Linked DNA regions of Alligator mississippiensis. The protein of the gene in region 1 interacts with the protein of each later gene in a pairwise test. Links are inferred from orthologs where the notes say so. Each region holds a gene or a part of one and is shown on either strand. Other genes may lie near its edges.

The links.
Region 2: the proteins of ZYX (region 1) and IMP3 interact in binary tests that used the Homo sapiens proteins (3 or more experiments, as listed by UniProt). The link is inferred for Alligator mississippiensis from reciprocal best matches to the Homo sapiens genes ZYX and IMP3.

The regions. Positions count from the first base shown.
Region 1 is NC_081827.1:154,143,956-154,151,934, reverse strand, and holds the start of ZYX (zyxin), read right to left. Parts: upstream 3,014-7,979; 5' UTR 2,927-3,013; intron 2,798-2,926; exon of another isoform or gene 2,676-2,797; intron 1-2,675. UniProt on the Homo sapiens protein: Adhesion plaque protein. Binds alpha-actinin and the CRP protein. Important for targeting TES and ENA/VASP family members to focal adhesions and for the formation of actin-rich structures.
Region 2 is NC_081824.1:13,427,300-13,434,640, forward strand, and holds the start of IMP3 (U3 small nucleolar ribonucleoprotein protein IMP3), read left to right. Parts: upstream 1-4,334; 5' UTR 4,335-4,493; coding exon 4,494-5,057; 3' UTR 5,058-7,341. Other genes in the region: PLA2G7 (platelet-activating factor acetylhydrolase), read right to left, coding at 739-837. UniProt on the Homo sapiens protein: Component of the 60-80S U3 small nucleolar ribonucleoprotein (U3 snoRNP). Required for the early cleavages during pre-18S ribosomal RNA processing. Part of the small subunit (SSU) processome, first precursor of the small eukaryotic ribosomal subunit.

The DNA of each region.
Region 1 (7,979 bases):
AAGTGAGCCATATCTGCTGATATTGATCTGATTGCCGATATGCAAGCCAGGCAGTGTGGAGAGCAGCATCCAACTGGTAAGTCTATTAGGGGAAGGGCAGATTGAGGCCCCCTGTGGTGAGGGAGGGAATGGGGCTGAGGCAAGGGAAGGGAAGGGGCAGGGTGCAGGACGGAGCCGTGAGCAGCTTGTCCAGGGGGTGTGGAGGCCAGCTCCCACCGCTGTGCACACCCCTGGAGGAGGCACAGGGGGCACATGCCCACCGGATCTGTGCACAGGGCAAAGGCAGGCTGAGGCCGGGGCGGTGCTGGGCTCTTCCCAGCAGGGGGGTTGGGCTGGGACTGTGTCTGGGCTGAGCGGCAGCAGCACTGGGAGAAGGAGTTACCACTGGGAAGCTATGGTGAATTTTAGGGTGACTGTAGCTGTCCTGGCTGGGCAGTACCTGCACCAGCCCCACTCCCCCCAACCCCCTTCCAACAGACTTACCAGTCAGACACTGTGCTCCAAATTGCCAGGCTGCACTCCTGGCCATATGCATACTGTGGCTGTGCACATGCATGCAGTATTTAAATCGGCAACATTAATTGGCCACATCAGTCGAAAAAAGCCGACTGTCAATTTTCCTTTTATCAGTGCCTATATGATATGAACTGATATATCAGTGCACCTCTATCAAAAATGTGTCTCATTCCCTCATCCTCACCCATTCTCCTCCAGTGATGGAACTATTTCTATCTGGATAATTGCTTCTTTCTACAGTCATTAGTTACTAAAACCCAAGACCCATTTCACCCAGTATCAGACATTGGCACTATTAAAGTTTCTCAGAGTCCTGCAGAATACCTCCATATATCTGAATGAATATTATGGTCAGCTAGTGCAAATCTCCTGTATAAGCAAACAAATCGCAGACCCCACCCAATGATTCTTTCAGACGTATGTATGTATTCTAACTCCAGCAAACATCCTCTTTCTGAAAGATTCAGAGTACTAAGGGCACTGCTTTTCCAACACTTTGGAGTCTGCTGTTGAAAAGAGAGGGGGAAAAAATTATACTCTACCCTCCCACACTCCCTCTACATAAGCCGATCCTGGAAACAAGTATCCCCTGACCGAGCTGCCTCATTTCTCTCGGTTGTGCTTATATGAAAAGGGAGAAAATGCGCAGGACAGGATCTTCAATGGCAGACTTGAGAGCACTGAAGAGCAGACGTATCCTACAGAGACCTTAATTGATTAATATAGATCTTAAGTGATGGATAGAGATCTCAATCTCATCTACAGTCTAGGCAAGTCACTGGAGCTTATTTTGCTTTTGCTAGGTTAAGGAAAGACCCATTACCATTACAATCTTATCTTGCCAGGTAGAAACTTACAGGCCATGAGTCAGTCACTGCCAGATTGTACTTGCACACCATCATGGGGACAGTCTCCACAGAAAGGATTCTGGGACATTGGCTGCTTCATGCAGACACTTGGATTAATTACCTGCAGCGGTCCCGTTCTCCCATATACCCAAGCAGCTCCTTTCCCTACACGTTCTACTTAGATCAAAGCTTCTCTCTATTCACAGCAGCTGCCTTTGCCTGTCCTAAATGTTACTTAACGTGATCTTTCCCGTCTGTTCAGCCACCACCCTATTTGTCAGAGGAAAGTTAAAAAAGAAAAATGGGGCAGCCAAGGGACAGCTTTCCCCAATAACTTGCAATACAGCTGCTTGCTGTTTTGCCCCCTTGTCCAGTTCTACTGGTACTCAATTCCGAGCTGCAGCTCCCCTGAACACACAATCCAGTTCAGGCAGGTCTGCTATCCATGCATATAAACGGACAAAAAGGTTGTGTCAGCAGCAGAGGCCCGATCCTAAATCATCGTGCTGCCCTGCTATTAGCAGCAATATTCAGGAAGCCCAGCGGAAGTGTAGAGGAAGGCATCACCAAAGCCCCAGGCAAAGGCTACCTTCCCACCCGCAATGTCTTCTCCACACACCTGGAACACAAACTGCTGTCTGTCCTGCTGGCCACAGATGCATCTCATACACAGAAGCAACCCAGTTTAAGGAAGGCGCTCACATTTGTGAACAAACCAATCCTCAAGTACAATAAAACCTTGGACTTGAAACCTTGCAAACACCTGAACTTCGCAAGCCGGTCTCCACGCTCCCCCATGCTCGCACGGGGAGGAGGTCCCCCGTGCCCTCCTAGTTACTTTTTTCCTTCCACGAAGGGAAGGGCATCTCAGCTTTAAGTCAGGCAAGGGCGACACACCATCCAGTAACCTATTTCGCGATTTAACTCTCGGCTCTGCATGCAGTCACCCGCTTCCTCCAAGTGCAAAGCAGCACAGGGGAAGTGCCCCTACAAAGGCGAAGTGAAAGGATCAGCTGGAAGCAGCGCCACATTCACTTCACCCCCCACTTTTCGCGGGTCACTCCTGCAAAAAATAAATAGCTTCGCTGGCAAAAGAGAAGAAAGTCTCGACAACAGCCACAAACCCTTCCGCGCACCCGCTGCAGGCCAGCGCCCGGCCCGCGGAGGGGAGGGGGCCAGGCAGGCCCGGAGTCACGCTGCCACGCGTGTGGGAGCGGGTCAGGCGCGGGGGGCTCCGGGACAGAAAGGAGGAGCCGCTTCCCGGGCCCGAGCTCGCCTCACGGGATGCGGGGCCGGGCGGGGGGGGCTCACCTCCGCTCCGCGCCGACGCCTCAGAGCCCCCGCCCGCGGGGACCAGCTCCTGTCCGCCGCGGCTCGACTCGGCTCGGCTCCCTGCCCGGGCCCGCGTCTGCGCTGCGAGGGGAGGGAAGGGGAGGATGTGGCCGGGTGGGGAGCGGAGCAGCCCGATCACTTCCTCGCAGGCGGCGAGAAGGCCTCGCCCAGCCCGCGCTGTTTGCCCATAAAAGGAGCGCGAGGCTGCGCGGGCAGCTGAGCTCACTCACCGGGGAATGTGGCAATGAGGTAACGGGGCGGGCGGGGGGCGCGGAGAAGCCGTAGCTGGCTGGCGGCGGTCATCCCTCCAGGCTGCGCCCCCAGCCCCGCCCTCGACTCCTCCCGAGGAGAAGGAGGCGCCCTCCCGTCCGCTCTTCTCTTCTTCTCTTCTCTTCTCTTCAGGGCCTGGAAACTGAACGTCTTGTAGCCTCTCTTCTTTCCTTGCCCAGCCCCAGATGCTGTGTTTTACCAGAGCCGCCCCATTGTGACTCGCCCTGCATATGCCCATCCGTTCCTGGGTCAGTCACTGCTTCTCTCTCCTCCCCCTTGATCCCATGCCTGCTTTTCCCTTGTATCCGCCTAGTCCTCAATGCTTCCCCTCTGCCACTCCTGCTGGCTGGCGACTTCGTAGGCCGTGGAACGGGGTGGGCTACCTGGGCCTGGCACGGCCAACTTGTATCACGTTAATTTTTATCCGTGGCGACGCATTGGGAGTGCATGTGCACCCCCTGAGAGCGCTGCTGCACCCCCTGACAGGCTGTGCTCCCCGCTTAAGCGATGGGCAGGCGGGAGCGCCAGTGCCCACCCTGCAAGCACTAGTGGGAGAGCAGGAGCACTCGCTGTAGCGCCGTGGCTGCTTCTGGGAGCCCTGCAGCTACTTCCCGGTCAGTGAGTTTTGCCATGGGGGGACTCCTCCCCCCCCAGTCCACAAGATTGCCTGCAGGGGAACCCCTGGTTGTGGGGGGGGGCACGTGCCCCCTCCCCCCCCAGCTAAGGTGACACCAGTCGCCCATGACTTATATAACCCACAGATGCACAATTGTCATTCCAATTAAAACTGTATAGCTATTTTTTTAACTGCGTAGCTAGCTAAATTAACATGCTAAAAGTTGGTCGGGCCATGGCCCGGGTGGCACTCCTCAGTCCGCAGCCTATGGGTGACTTTTCTAGCCACCAACGCAGCAACTTTACAGTTCTCCTGAGTCATGTCCCATCTATCCTTTTCCCCCGCCCCCTCCATGTATGAGCCAGCTGCAAGAGCATCTGACTCAGACTTTCCCAGTCCTCTCAATGTTTGTTGGTTGTTTGTTTGTTTTTTTAAACAACCCACAGCCAAGCCCACAATACTGCAAGTAAGGTATTCCTGTTGTACTCTATATGAGACATGACTCAACTATTTCAAACCTCAGCCCCCAGTAAGATCACTTTGTTTCTTGAAATGATGCTAATGCCACCTGATTTTCTATTTCAGACCTGACATCTACTGATGCTTCTCAGTCCCGATGCATAGTCACACAGAGTAAGATTCCTCCTGCTTTGCCAGTCCTATGTGACAATCTTGATCTGCAGAATCCTAAATCCACTCAAAGTGTTCCCTATTATTTTGCTGGCCAGCGGCACTCCACAGTATTTGACCCAAAAGATCTTGCCCCTACATCAAGGACCTCACAACTTAAATACCAGATCTTTGGTTTTCTTTCTTTTCTTTAAGCCACTCTTATCAAAGCACAACCTCCCTCAGTAAATTCTCTCCAAGGAATTTGAGGGAAAGTGCCAAGGGAAACTCCTTTGTTTTGCATAATCATCAGACTTTGCCCTCAGAATCTGGCCTTGATACTTGCTACTGGCTAATGGTTCTATTGTTGCCAGATTCCTAAGAAATAACTTACTAATTGTTATGCCTAGATGACTTCATTGTCCATCTGTGCTAGGGTTATTAGCCAACAGTGTAACTGCTCCAAAGTATGCTCATCATAGATCTACCTCAGTTAAGGCACACTGCTGATTGTGCCAGTTGAGACAGCAGTTTACACTAACATAGTGTGCCTGCATTAGACATTTTGTAGTGACACAGAGCACACAGGTTGGGCTGATGCAAAACAAAAGTGGAATGTTAATTTGGAGTCTACTGTTTTGAAGAGGATAGTGAGGGAGTAAGAAGTATAACTATAATAGTGAAGATAAGTCAGAACATCGAGTTCCAAATAGAAGTTGTAGAGAAGTAGGCCTGGAAGGGACCTTAAGAGGTCATCCAGTCCAGCCCCCTGCCTGAGGCAGAAAAGGTGTTGTGTCTTAAACAGATATCAGACCAGCAACCTTGGCATTATTAGCACCATGCACTAACCAGCTGAGTTAATCGGCCGCTTGCTGAGCTAATCCATTGCTCAGTGCGAACAGTTGCAGGCAGCTGTGCAAGGACATTTATAAATGTTTCTACACTAATGCCAGAAGCCTAAAAAATAAGATGGGTGAACTATAATACCTAGTATTAAATGGTAGCTGACATAATAGGCATCCCAGAGACTTGGAGGAAGGATGATAATCAGTGGGATACTGTTCTAACAGGTTACAAACTATATAGAAATAACAGAGTAAGACATGCAGGTGGATGAGTGGCAATATATGTTAAGGATAATATAGCTAGTAAGAGCGTACAAATCTTACCTGAAAGGAAAACAACTATAGAATACCTGTGGGTAGAAATCCAATAATTGAATACAAAGTATTTAGTACTTGGATTGTACTACCAACCACCTGATCAGGTTTAAATAATTATGAAATGCTTAGGGAGATTAAAGAGACTGCTAAAATAGGACTAGCGATAATAATGGGAGGCTTCAACTATCCTCACATAGACTGGGTAAACACCTCATCAGGACATGACGTGGATATACAATTTTTGGATGTGATAAATGACTGCTTTCTACAACAACTCATCTTGGAACCCACAAGAGGAGATGCAAGTCTAGACCTAATCCTGAGTAACACACAGGGCCTAGTTCAAGAGGTATTTGTTGGTTAGCCATGCTGTAAAAGCAATCATAACATAATCGTGTTCAACATTCTAGCAGGAAGGAGTAAGCCAAAGAAGTCCACCACACCAATATACAACTTTAGGAAGGGAAATTACACAAAAATGAGGAAGTTAGAAATTTAAAGGAGCAGTCAAAAATGTAAAAAGCTTGCAGGAAGCTTGAAAGGTATTTAAAAATACCGTATTAGAGGCTCAGGAAAAGTGTGTACCACAAATCAGAAAGGGTAACATGCACACCAATAAAACCTCTGCATGCTTTAATAGCAGAGTCAAGGAAGCCATTCGAGGCAAACGGGCATCCTTTAAAGAATAGAAAACATGCCCAAGTAAGGAAAACAGGAAAGATCACAAGCCCTGGCAGATCAAGTATAAAAGCAAAATAAGGAAGGCCAAAAAAGAATTTGAGGAACATCTAGCAAAAATGTTAAAGTTCATCATAATAACTTTTTCAAATACATCAGAAGCAGGAAGCCAGCTAGATAATTGGTGGGACTATTAGATGACCAAGGTGTAAAAGGTGCACTCAGATAATAAAGCCATAGGAGAGAAGCTAAAAAAAATTGTTGCGTTGATGTTTGCTGCAGAAGATACTGTGGAAATTTCCATGCCAGATCAGTGCCTTCTAATCATTGAGCCTAAAGAGCTGGACCACACTGAAATAACAACAGAGGAAGTTTTAGAATAAATCCAATGAAATACTAATAAGTCATGAGGACCGGATGGCATTCACCCCAGAGTTCTGAAGGAACTCAAGGGTGAAATTTCAGAATGGCTGGCAATAACCTATCAGTAACTTATCATAACAAAACAGACTCTGTGCCAGAGGACTGGTGGGTTGCCAACAAAATGCCCATTTTCAAAAAGGGCTTCAGAGGTGACCTGGGAACTTACAGACCAGTGAGTCTCACTTTCATCCCTGACAAGTTGGTAGAATCAATAATAAATAAATTCAGCAGTCATATGAATGAATAAGATCTGCTAGGGAAGAGCCAGCACTGTTTTTGTAAAGAGAAATCCTGCTTCACAAATCTGGTGCAGGGTGTTAACAAGCACGTGGTCAAGGGAGATCCAGTTGACATAATATATTTGGACTTTCACAAAACTTTCAACAAAGGCTTTTAAAAAAACTGCATTGTGACAGGATTGAAGGGAAGGTTCTTTTGCAGACTGAGAGCAAGAAACAAAGGGTAGAGCTAAACAGTTACTTTTCAGGATGGAGGGAGGTTGAGAATGGGATCCCGCAGGGATCTGTGCTGGACCCAGTATTGTTCAACATTTTCATCAATGACTTGGAAATTCGGATGCAGAGTGAAATCTCCAAGTTTGCAGATGATAAATTATTCTGGGTGGTCAAGTCCCAAACTGATCAAGAGGAGCTGCAGAAACATCTTACCAAGCAGACTGAGTGGGCAAAAAAATGGCAGATTAATTTTGAAAGGAAAATACACCTAGGGAAAAACAGCTTCAACTATACCTACATAATACTGGGTTCTGACCTAGCTCAATGTGCAGTGGCAACCAAAAAAAGCCAATGAAGTTTTGGGCATCGTTAAGGGAATTGAAAACAAAATGTTATCATGCCGTTATGCAAATCCATGGTGTGCCCACATCTTGAATACTGTGTGTAGTTTTGGTCTCCATATCTCAAAAAGAATGAAGTAGAATTAGTAGGGGTGCACTGATAAAGATTTTTTGGCCAGTACCGATGGTCGATTATTAACTAGCCATAATGGCTGGTACTGATCCGATTGCTGATATGCAGCCTGGCAGCTTGAAGAGCAGTGTCTGGCTGGTAAGTGTGTGGGGGGTAAGGGGCATGGGGGATGGAGGAGGCATGGGGAGAACAGATTGAGGCCCCCCCCCATGATGAGGGAGGGGCTGGGGCTGGGGCTGGGGCAGACACTGCCCAGGCGGGGCAAGGAACAGGACGGAGCCATGGGTGGCTCATTCAGGGAGGGGGGGAAATGTTTCTCCGTGCTGTGCACACTGCAAGGGAGGCATGGGGGGCATATGCTCATCGTATTTGTGCACAGGATGATGGCGGGCTGCCCACTTTGGGCTCTTCCCAGTGGTGGGAGTGGGGAGAGGGGGCTGGACCAGGTTGTGCTCAGGAAAGATGGGGGAGGGGTAGGTGGCAGCGGTGCTGGGAGGGGGGGGTTACAGAATGGGCTACAGCCACCCCAAAATTCATCATAGCCCCCGCTCACAGCATCACCGCCACCCACCCTGCCCCTGTATGCCCTGTGTGC
Region 2 (7,341 bases), on another chromosome or scaffold:
CACTGGGACTTGTGGGGTGGGAAAATGCTGCAGTCAATAGAGACCTCAATGCAAGTTCCCCTGGAACCAAAATAGCAGGAAGGATGGAATTTAAGGCAGGCACTGGGGTGCATAAGGGCTCTGTATGGATTGTCTTTCCTTGACGCATCTCCCTGAGAACAGGGGTAGGGCATATAATTCATTTCACTGGGTGGCAACCTCTGATCCCTCCCTATCCTTCCTGCCCCATGAGGAATAGACATTTTCCCGCCATGCCCCAAAGAATTTGCTGTGAATTACTTTGCTGTTAGCTGGTAGGAGGATTCCCTCAAATAGGATAACGGGGTTGGGCTCTTCAGCTGTATTCAGAGGTGGGCCTAAGCGACAACGTTCATGTTTAGATCTAGATCCAGTTCTGCACTCCCCCGAAGTTTGGGAGGCTGGAGGAAGGTACTTATCTGCCTGTCAGTTTCATATAACATTTTGATCCTAGCATCCACCATATCAGCTCATTAACAGCAATTCTTGGACCAGAGGTGTTACCTGTCTGCCCTACACTAACCACCCAGTGTGAATTCTGCCACTGCTTAAGTCATTAAAAAAAATACTGTTTGCTTAAGCAGGCTTGGTTCTAGTTCTGAGCAGCAGCGATTTTCTTCCTACCTGAATAAGCAGACCTTTCCATGTAGTCAGTATCTAACACTAGTGCTGGGCTAGTGATTTAAGTGGGGAGGGACAGGACAGATATAGGTGTCCTACCTGAACGGTGTCATCAGTCATCAGGTCTGTGCAGCCAACAGAATAAGGCCCCTTCCCTTCAGGGATCCTGTAAAACTTGGCAGTGCCTTTGGTTCCCATTTCTTCAGCGCTTTAACAGCCAAACCTAAAAAACCACAACAGACCTTGGGAGATTCTTTTCTTCTTTTCAGACCAGCAAACTGATGCAATGGAAAAAAGAACAGGAGAACAAAGATTCAGGATGTTAAGGTTTGGGACCAAGCTACCAATTGGGGTCCAAAGAACCATGCATGAGAATCACAGATGTAAAGCCAGAAGGGACCATACTGTGTGTCATCGAGTAAGACTTCCTCTACAACACAGATCATAGAATTTCAGCAGTGCAGGGTATTGACTGAAGTGCTGAGGACTGGGGGAGATAGCTGCTTTGTACATGTGCTGAGGGGGAGGATGTGAGCTCTGATTTCCTTGGAAAATTCAACCTCCTTTGATAATTACAGTCTGCCCACTTCAATCAACTCCCTGTAGTTTTATCCGGATTCTTCACTTCCTGTCCCACGGGGCTGCATAGCACTTGTACGCAGCGTCAGATTGGTAGTTTTAAGATGTCTGTACATTAGAGGGTAAAATGCTTTATACAGAACTAAAGGGCCAGATTCAGACAGAGGTTATATTCGCAAAAGAGTATAAGCTATAGCAGCAGGACCCAGTGGTAGGGCACTGGGGAGGTGAGTGGTTAAGATGGTGGAAAACAGCTAGAGTCTCTCTCTCTTTTGGGAGCAAGCAGGGGTTCATGCAAGACAAAAAGCAGATGGTTCTGGACAGAGCTACAGAGGTTTAGGGTTCAACCATAAATTAAAGCTGCTTTTTGCACTGATGTGGCCTCCCCTGATTATGAGCTGACATATGAGTCTCACAAGGAGCAGGAGGTTGCCTTTGGATGTAGGAGTTCCATCTTTGTTCAAAGCCTGAGAGGAGCATTTTGGAGGGCTCCCCTTCTGGCAGCACAACACCATCCCCTCACACAGCTGTCACGTTTAGTGCAGCTCTTTGTGTCACACAGCTGGGGAGACATGTCACTTTAATCCCATGTACATACATGTGCATGCACACACGTACAATTTATGATTCTATGAAACTGGGGACTCTATTAGCCTCCCCTGCACAGCCCCATCCCAGCTTAGCCCCCATCTCCTTCTGCCTGTCTTTCAGCCGATGCCTCATTCTGATCCCTTTGCTGCCCCACCTTTCAGCTCCTGATATATTCTCTCCACAGCTTCCACCTCTAGATGATCTCTGAATCCCTTCCTTCTGCTCCCCAACCTCCCTTGCTAGTTGCACTGAGATCCCATTGAAGAACTATCCTATTTTCTTTCCACCTTTGCTTTGACATGGAGTAACGTTTTTTATAGCTATCTAGATATATCTATATCTATCTATATATTAGACATATATATGTATGTATGTATACACACATATACATACAGTATATGAAGTATTAAAAGATGAATTGCTTTATTTTAATTCAGAAGCAGAGTATGTATCATAAACCCCTAATAAATATGTAACCTGTGGTCAGTAGCTATGTCACAAACCTCAGCACTTCAACTGCTTAAAAACAGTCTCAAGTTAGTGTTAGGACATGAAGCACTTTCCCTGTTGGATGTATGCAACTGGATGGAGGAAAAGACATAACAAAATTGGCCTGTTTTTTTAAGCTCTGGAGTATTTACAACTTCCTCAACACTGCAGATAAGGCCAAGTGCTCACACGTACCTGTGACCACATACAAACCGCAAGCTTGCTAGTGGCTTGCCTAATGTAGGCTAGAACTTTATCAGCATTTCAGATCACGTTTTGAGTGACCAGGAGGTATATAGAATCTATGTGTCTGCGTGTGACACACATCTCCATAGTTATTTTAAGGGTGGGCCAAGTCAAGCACGCCGTGCTGTCATGACTTGCATTCTAGATCTCAAAATGCTTTCCAGACTCTGATAAACTGAATGTCAGGCTACCACTCTGACAAATCCTTCTTGTTGGATTCTTTATGGTTCTGGTCCCAGTCTAATCATTTCTTCCTCCACAGAAGGAAGTGAAGTAGGTATAAAATACTAACTTCCACTTCTCCTAGCTGTCAGTGATGACACAAGTAACCACACAGGAGACTCATCTCTGTTTTGCTTGTGGGGAAGGCAAGGCACAGGAGTGATCTGTCTGAAGCTCCACAGACTCTGGCAGGGATGGGAATGCAGATCAGCATTCCTGACCTCTGCTCCTGTGCTTGAGTCCAGCCGGCATCATCCCCAGAACAGTGTCACACTCTGTGCTGAAGAGAACCCAGGCATGTGAGGCCTGGCCCTGCAGCTGCTCTTAGGCAGGCATTTGCAGGGATGAGGAGGTCCCGTAAAGGCAGAGCTGGGACATAGAAATGGCATAAAATCCTACTTCTTTTGTTTTACTTCCTGCAGATGAAATATAGCTGAGCCCACTGAAGAATGAAAATGAAATAGCTGAGCACACTGAAACCCATTCTTACCTACTAATTTTGTTTCTCCAGATCTCCTTCTGTCAGTCCAGAATGCAAAAGTAAAGGAAAATTTGAAGGGTTCTTCTATTAATGTTCCTCTTGCTTTCCCAATGTCATGACCTTTGTTAAAGAAAATAACACAAAAGCATGTGAGTAGCTAGTATCCAGGTCTGCTTATTCGTGTTGCCTTTTCAAGGGTGGGGTCAAAATTAGGAGATGACTTGAAAGTATAGTTCAGTTCCCTAAGTCCTTCAGAGCTTGCTTTCTGCAGTCTGTCCCAAGTCAGTCAATTATACTGGCTGGCTCCTGGCGACAGGAATTCCTGATTGCCCAGGAGCCGACCTGAAAACACGTTTTTCACACAGGCGTAATGCCTTTCGGACCGGCCATTACAGTCCTGAGAACTAGATTCTGTCTCCTGTGAGGCACAAACCACTGAGATCAGGCAACTTAATGCTGCTTTGGGATAACCTAGGATAACAAGTCAGGCTTCTGCATACTATTTTGCCTATAGTTTCCCAAGTCTGTCCATAGGTTGTGGCACAGACTTAATTAACTGCAGCCCAGAGCACCAAGTACACTGACTTGTAGGTGACTGCCAGCAATCTGTAGCACAAGAAGGGGACAGTCGTTACACTGGACTGGCCCACACTACACTGGGAATCCCTGCGCGCTGCGGGAAGCTGGGTGCTTTCTAGACACCGTGTGCACCAGCAGTAGCATAACGCAGGATGCTGCTGCTACCCGGGGCACTGGTCCGAGCTTGACATGACTTACTGCCTAGTTCGCTTGCAGCCCCAGCCAAGAAAACGATGATGGCAAAATGAGAGAGAGAGGAAATACACTTTGGTCTTAGCCTAAAAAAAAAGCCCACAAAACCAAGCACCCCAGCCTGCAGCAGGGCAGCCGCGGCAGCGTGCAATGTCAGCCCAGGGTCGAGACACCCTGCCCCAGAAGCCCTCCGCCATCCGAGCAGGGGGAAGCCCCGAGCACATCTCGCGCAGGTTGCAGAGAACCTGCGGGGGAGGCGCCTGCAAGGGGCGGAGAGCGAACCCTACGTCACAGAACGGGGCCGAACAATGCGGAACGGAACGCTCGACCGCACAGTGACGTCACAAAGGGGAGCGGCCAATGAGAACGCAGCCCCGCACCCGGAACTGGAAGCGCTGGGCACAGCCACGTGGCTGGCAGCGGCGGCGGGAGCACTCGGACTCGGACTCGGACGTAGAGCAGCAGCAGCAGCAGGATGGTCCGCAAGCTCAAGTTCCACGAGCAGAAGCTGCTGAAGCGGCTGGACCTGGTGAGCTGGGAGGCGGCGGGCGGCGGCACGGCGGAGCTGCGCGTGCTGCGGCGCTACCGGCTCCCGCGCCGCGAGGACTACACGCGCTACAACCAGCTGAGCCGCGCCGTGCGCACCCTGGCGCGCCGCCTCCGCGACCTGGGCTCCGCGCCGGCCCACGCCGCCTTCCGCGCGCGCTGCACCGCGGCGCTGCTGGGCAAGCTGCAGGCGCTGGGGCTGGTGAGCTCGGCGCGCTCGCTGGAGCAGTGCGACCGGGTCACGGCCTCGTCCTTCTGCCGCCGCCGCCTGCCCTGCGTGCTGCTCCGCCTGCGCATGGCGCCCAACCTGCGCGCCGCCGTCGCCTTCGTGGAGCAGGGCCACGTGCGCGTGGGGCCCGAAGCCGTCACCGACCCCGCCTTCCTCGTGCCCCGCGCGCTCGAGGACTTCATCACCTGGGCGCCCGGCTCCCGCCTGCGCCGCCACCTGCTCGACTACAACCAGGAGCGCGACGACTTCGACGTGCCCGCCTAGGGCCGGATGCGCCGCCAGGACGGGACCCCAGGCTCCGGGGGCAGCGGCTTAGAAACGCCCTCCTCCAGCGACGCCCTGCGTCCTGGCCAGCTGGCAAGGACTGGTGTCTGCGCCCTCCCCAGTCAGGCTGCACCTGCCGATACAGCCTGCAGCTGCTGCCAGGGCAGGGCGTCCCCTTCTGCTGTCATCAGCCTTCACGGACGGGCCTGTTCTCAGAAATCCTTGGACCCGGTTGCATTAACTGTCATCCTCAGCAGTACCCAGACCCCCTCCCTCCGCCCTTTCTCCTATTTAATAAAAAGAAACAAATTGCGTTTCAGGGAAAAGCCTTTTGGTTTCTTTAAAGGCGCAGTCGCACCTGCCTTCTCCAGCCCTGCTGCTGTTTTCCAGCTGAAGGAACTGAGTGGGGCGGCTTGCTGCCCTCGCCTACATCGGGCATCCCCCAGCTCCCCAGAGCGCATCGTGGGGCCCCTGTCTCAGCAGGCCCCATGGCACTCCCCACCGCACCGTGTCAGCAAGCTGGGGGATACCCAGCAGGTCTGCTTCCAGGCTGCGTGTCGCCACCAGCTCTGCATGTTTATGGTCTACTCTCTACCACCCCATCCCTGGGTCCCGTCCAGACACTGAGTAGCGGGACGTGTTCAGTGAGGACAAAGGTCCCTTGCGGACAGACGTTTTGCTGTGTTCCTGTGAGCCTCAGCTGGCGGCTCCTCCACTGAGCTGTCGCCACAGGTGTATGTATACCTGGCATGTGTCACAGATGTCCCGAACATCTGCCTCTTCTGCAACCAGAGGGAGACCCTGACCTATGTCTGCGTGGGATGTGCCCAGCTGCAGCCCCTTTACCGCCTCCTTCAGAGCCTCCTACTACAGTTCTGGCCACGCTGCTCCCTGCACCTTTTTATTTGCACGCTTCCCATCTGCGGCCCCACCAAGTCCTGGGACCTCCTGATCAACCTCCTCCTGGTCCTGGCTAAGCTCACAATTTATCTGACCACGAAGGAGGCTCTAGTGGGGAGGACCCGTGGGGGCTGGGGAGCTGCTTTCTTGTCCCTTGTCTGATCACATCTCCAAGCAGTTGCACTGGGCAGTGGGAGACTTGTAGGTTTTTTTTGGTGGACATTGGCTCATGATCCCTTAAAGTAGCAAATTGCCCTGTGTGGCTGGAGCAGTTTTGTTTTTTTTAGATGAATCCTGTTTGTGCAGTGTTAGTCGGAATGTATCTGTTAGTGTTAGGCGCGGTGTTTCCTGTTACTCTCCTGGGAGGATGGGGACTGTTTACAGTAGTGCAGGCGGTTTTCTGAGCACTCTGTGTCTGTGGGACCGGTGTCTGCAGAGTTGGACGGTAACTTTTCCTGTGTGAGGTTTGAGGATGAATGCTGTGCGCTCTTGGGAAGCTTTGCCCTAAGGCGCTTACATGACCACTGGCAACACCCAGGGCTTGGGAATGACCCAGTTTCCAGAGGGGTAACTGATACTTCAAAGCACTAAGGCCCAGATCCTGCCTAAATGCCAGTGGGGATCCAGCCCTTCAACTGCTATGCCCAAGGTCACAGAAGAAACATCCTTAACTGCCACTGTCTCCTGCCTTCCTTGTGTGCATTACAACATGCAACATGTTTCACACGCACACACGTTGCAGGTCTACAGAGAGCTGGCACCCCTGCGGTGGAACTGGAACTCCAGCTCCTTAATTCAGGGTTGACTGGCAGCGGCGAACATACCAACAGCTAAGGACCGTGGAGGACAAATCCTTTTCAGTCCTCTGCCCGTCTTTAAAACTTGCTTTCTTTTTTTAGCTGGACTCAAAGATGAAAAATAGGGGGACTCTCAAGGAGTTAAAGCTGTTTTTAACTACTTTGCTCCCTCTGATACTGTTTGTGACTAACATCTTCAGACTTTCTGGAAAAGGCTGTTGGAATCTCATGCAGGAGGAAACACATGCTGTGAGGCAAAGTTGTTTATAGCATTACATTCCTGACACAAAACTGAGCGGAAATACTCTCTCTGATCCTTCAGTGAGCAAAAAGGGAGGGTATTGCAAGCTCTTGAAGTTGGCAACCCTTACAAAGAAGTTTTGTAAAATTTTCAGCAGCCTGGAGATAGCTTGATCTTTGTTCAAACCAGAAGAGGAATGCAAGTCATAATCCTGAGAGAATAAGAACTTCACACTTAACTACGTGGGTTAATATTGTTCATTCCTAAAGGCAATAGAAATATTAACAGAAAGCAAAGCTATTCTAGCTAGGCCAGTGAAGTGCGACATTTATTTTTTAATGCAATA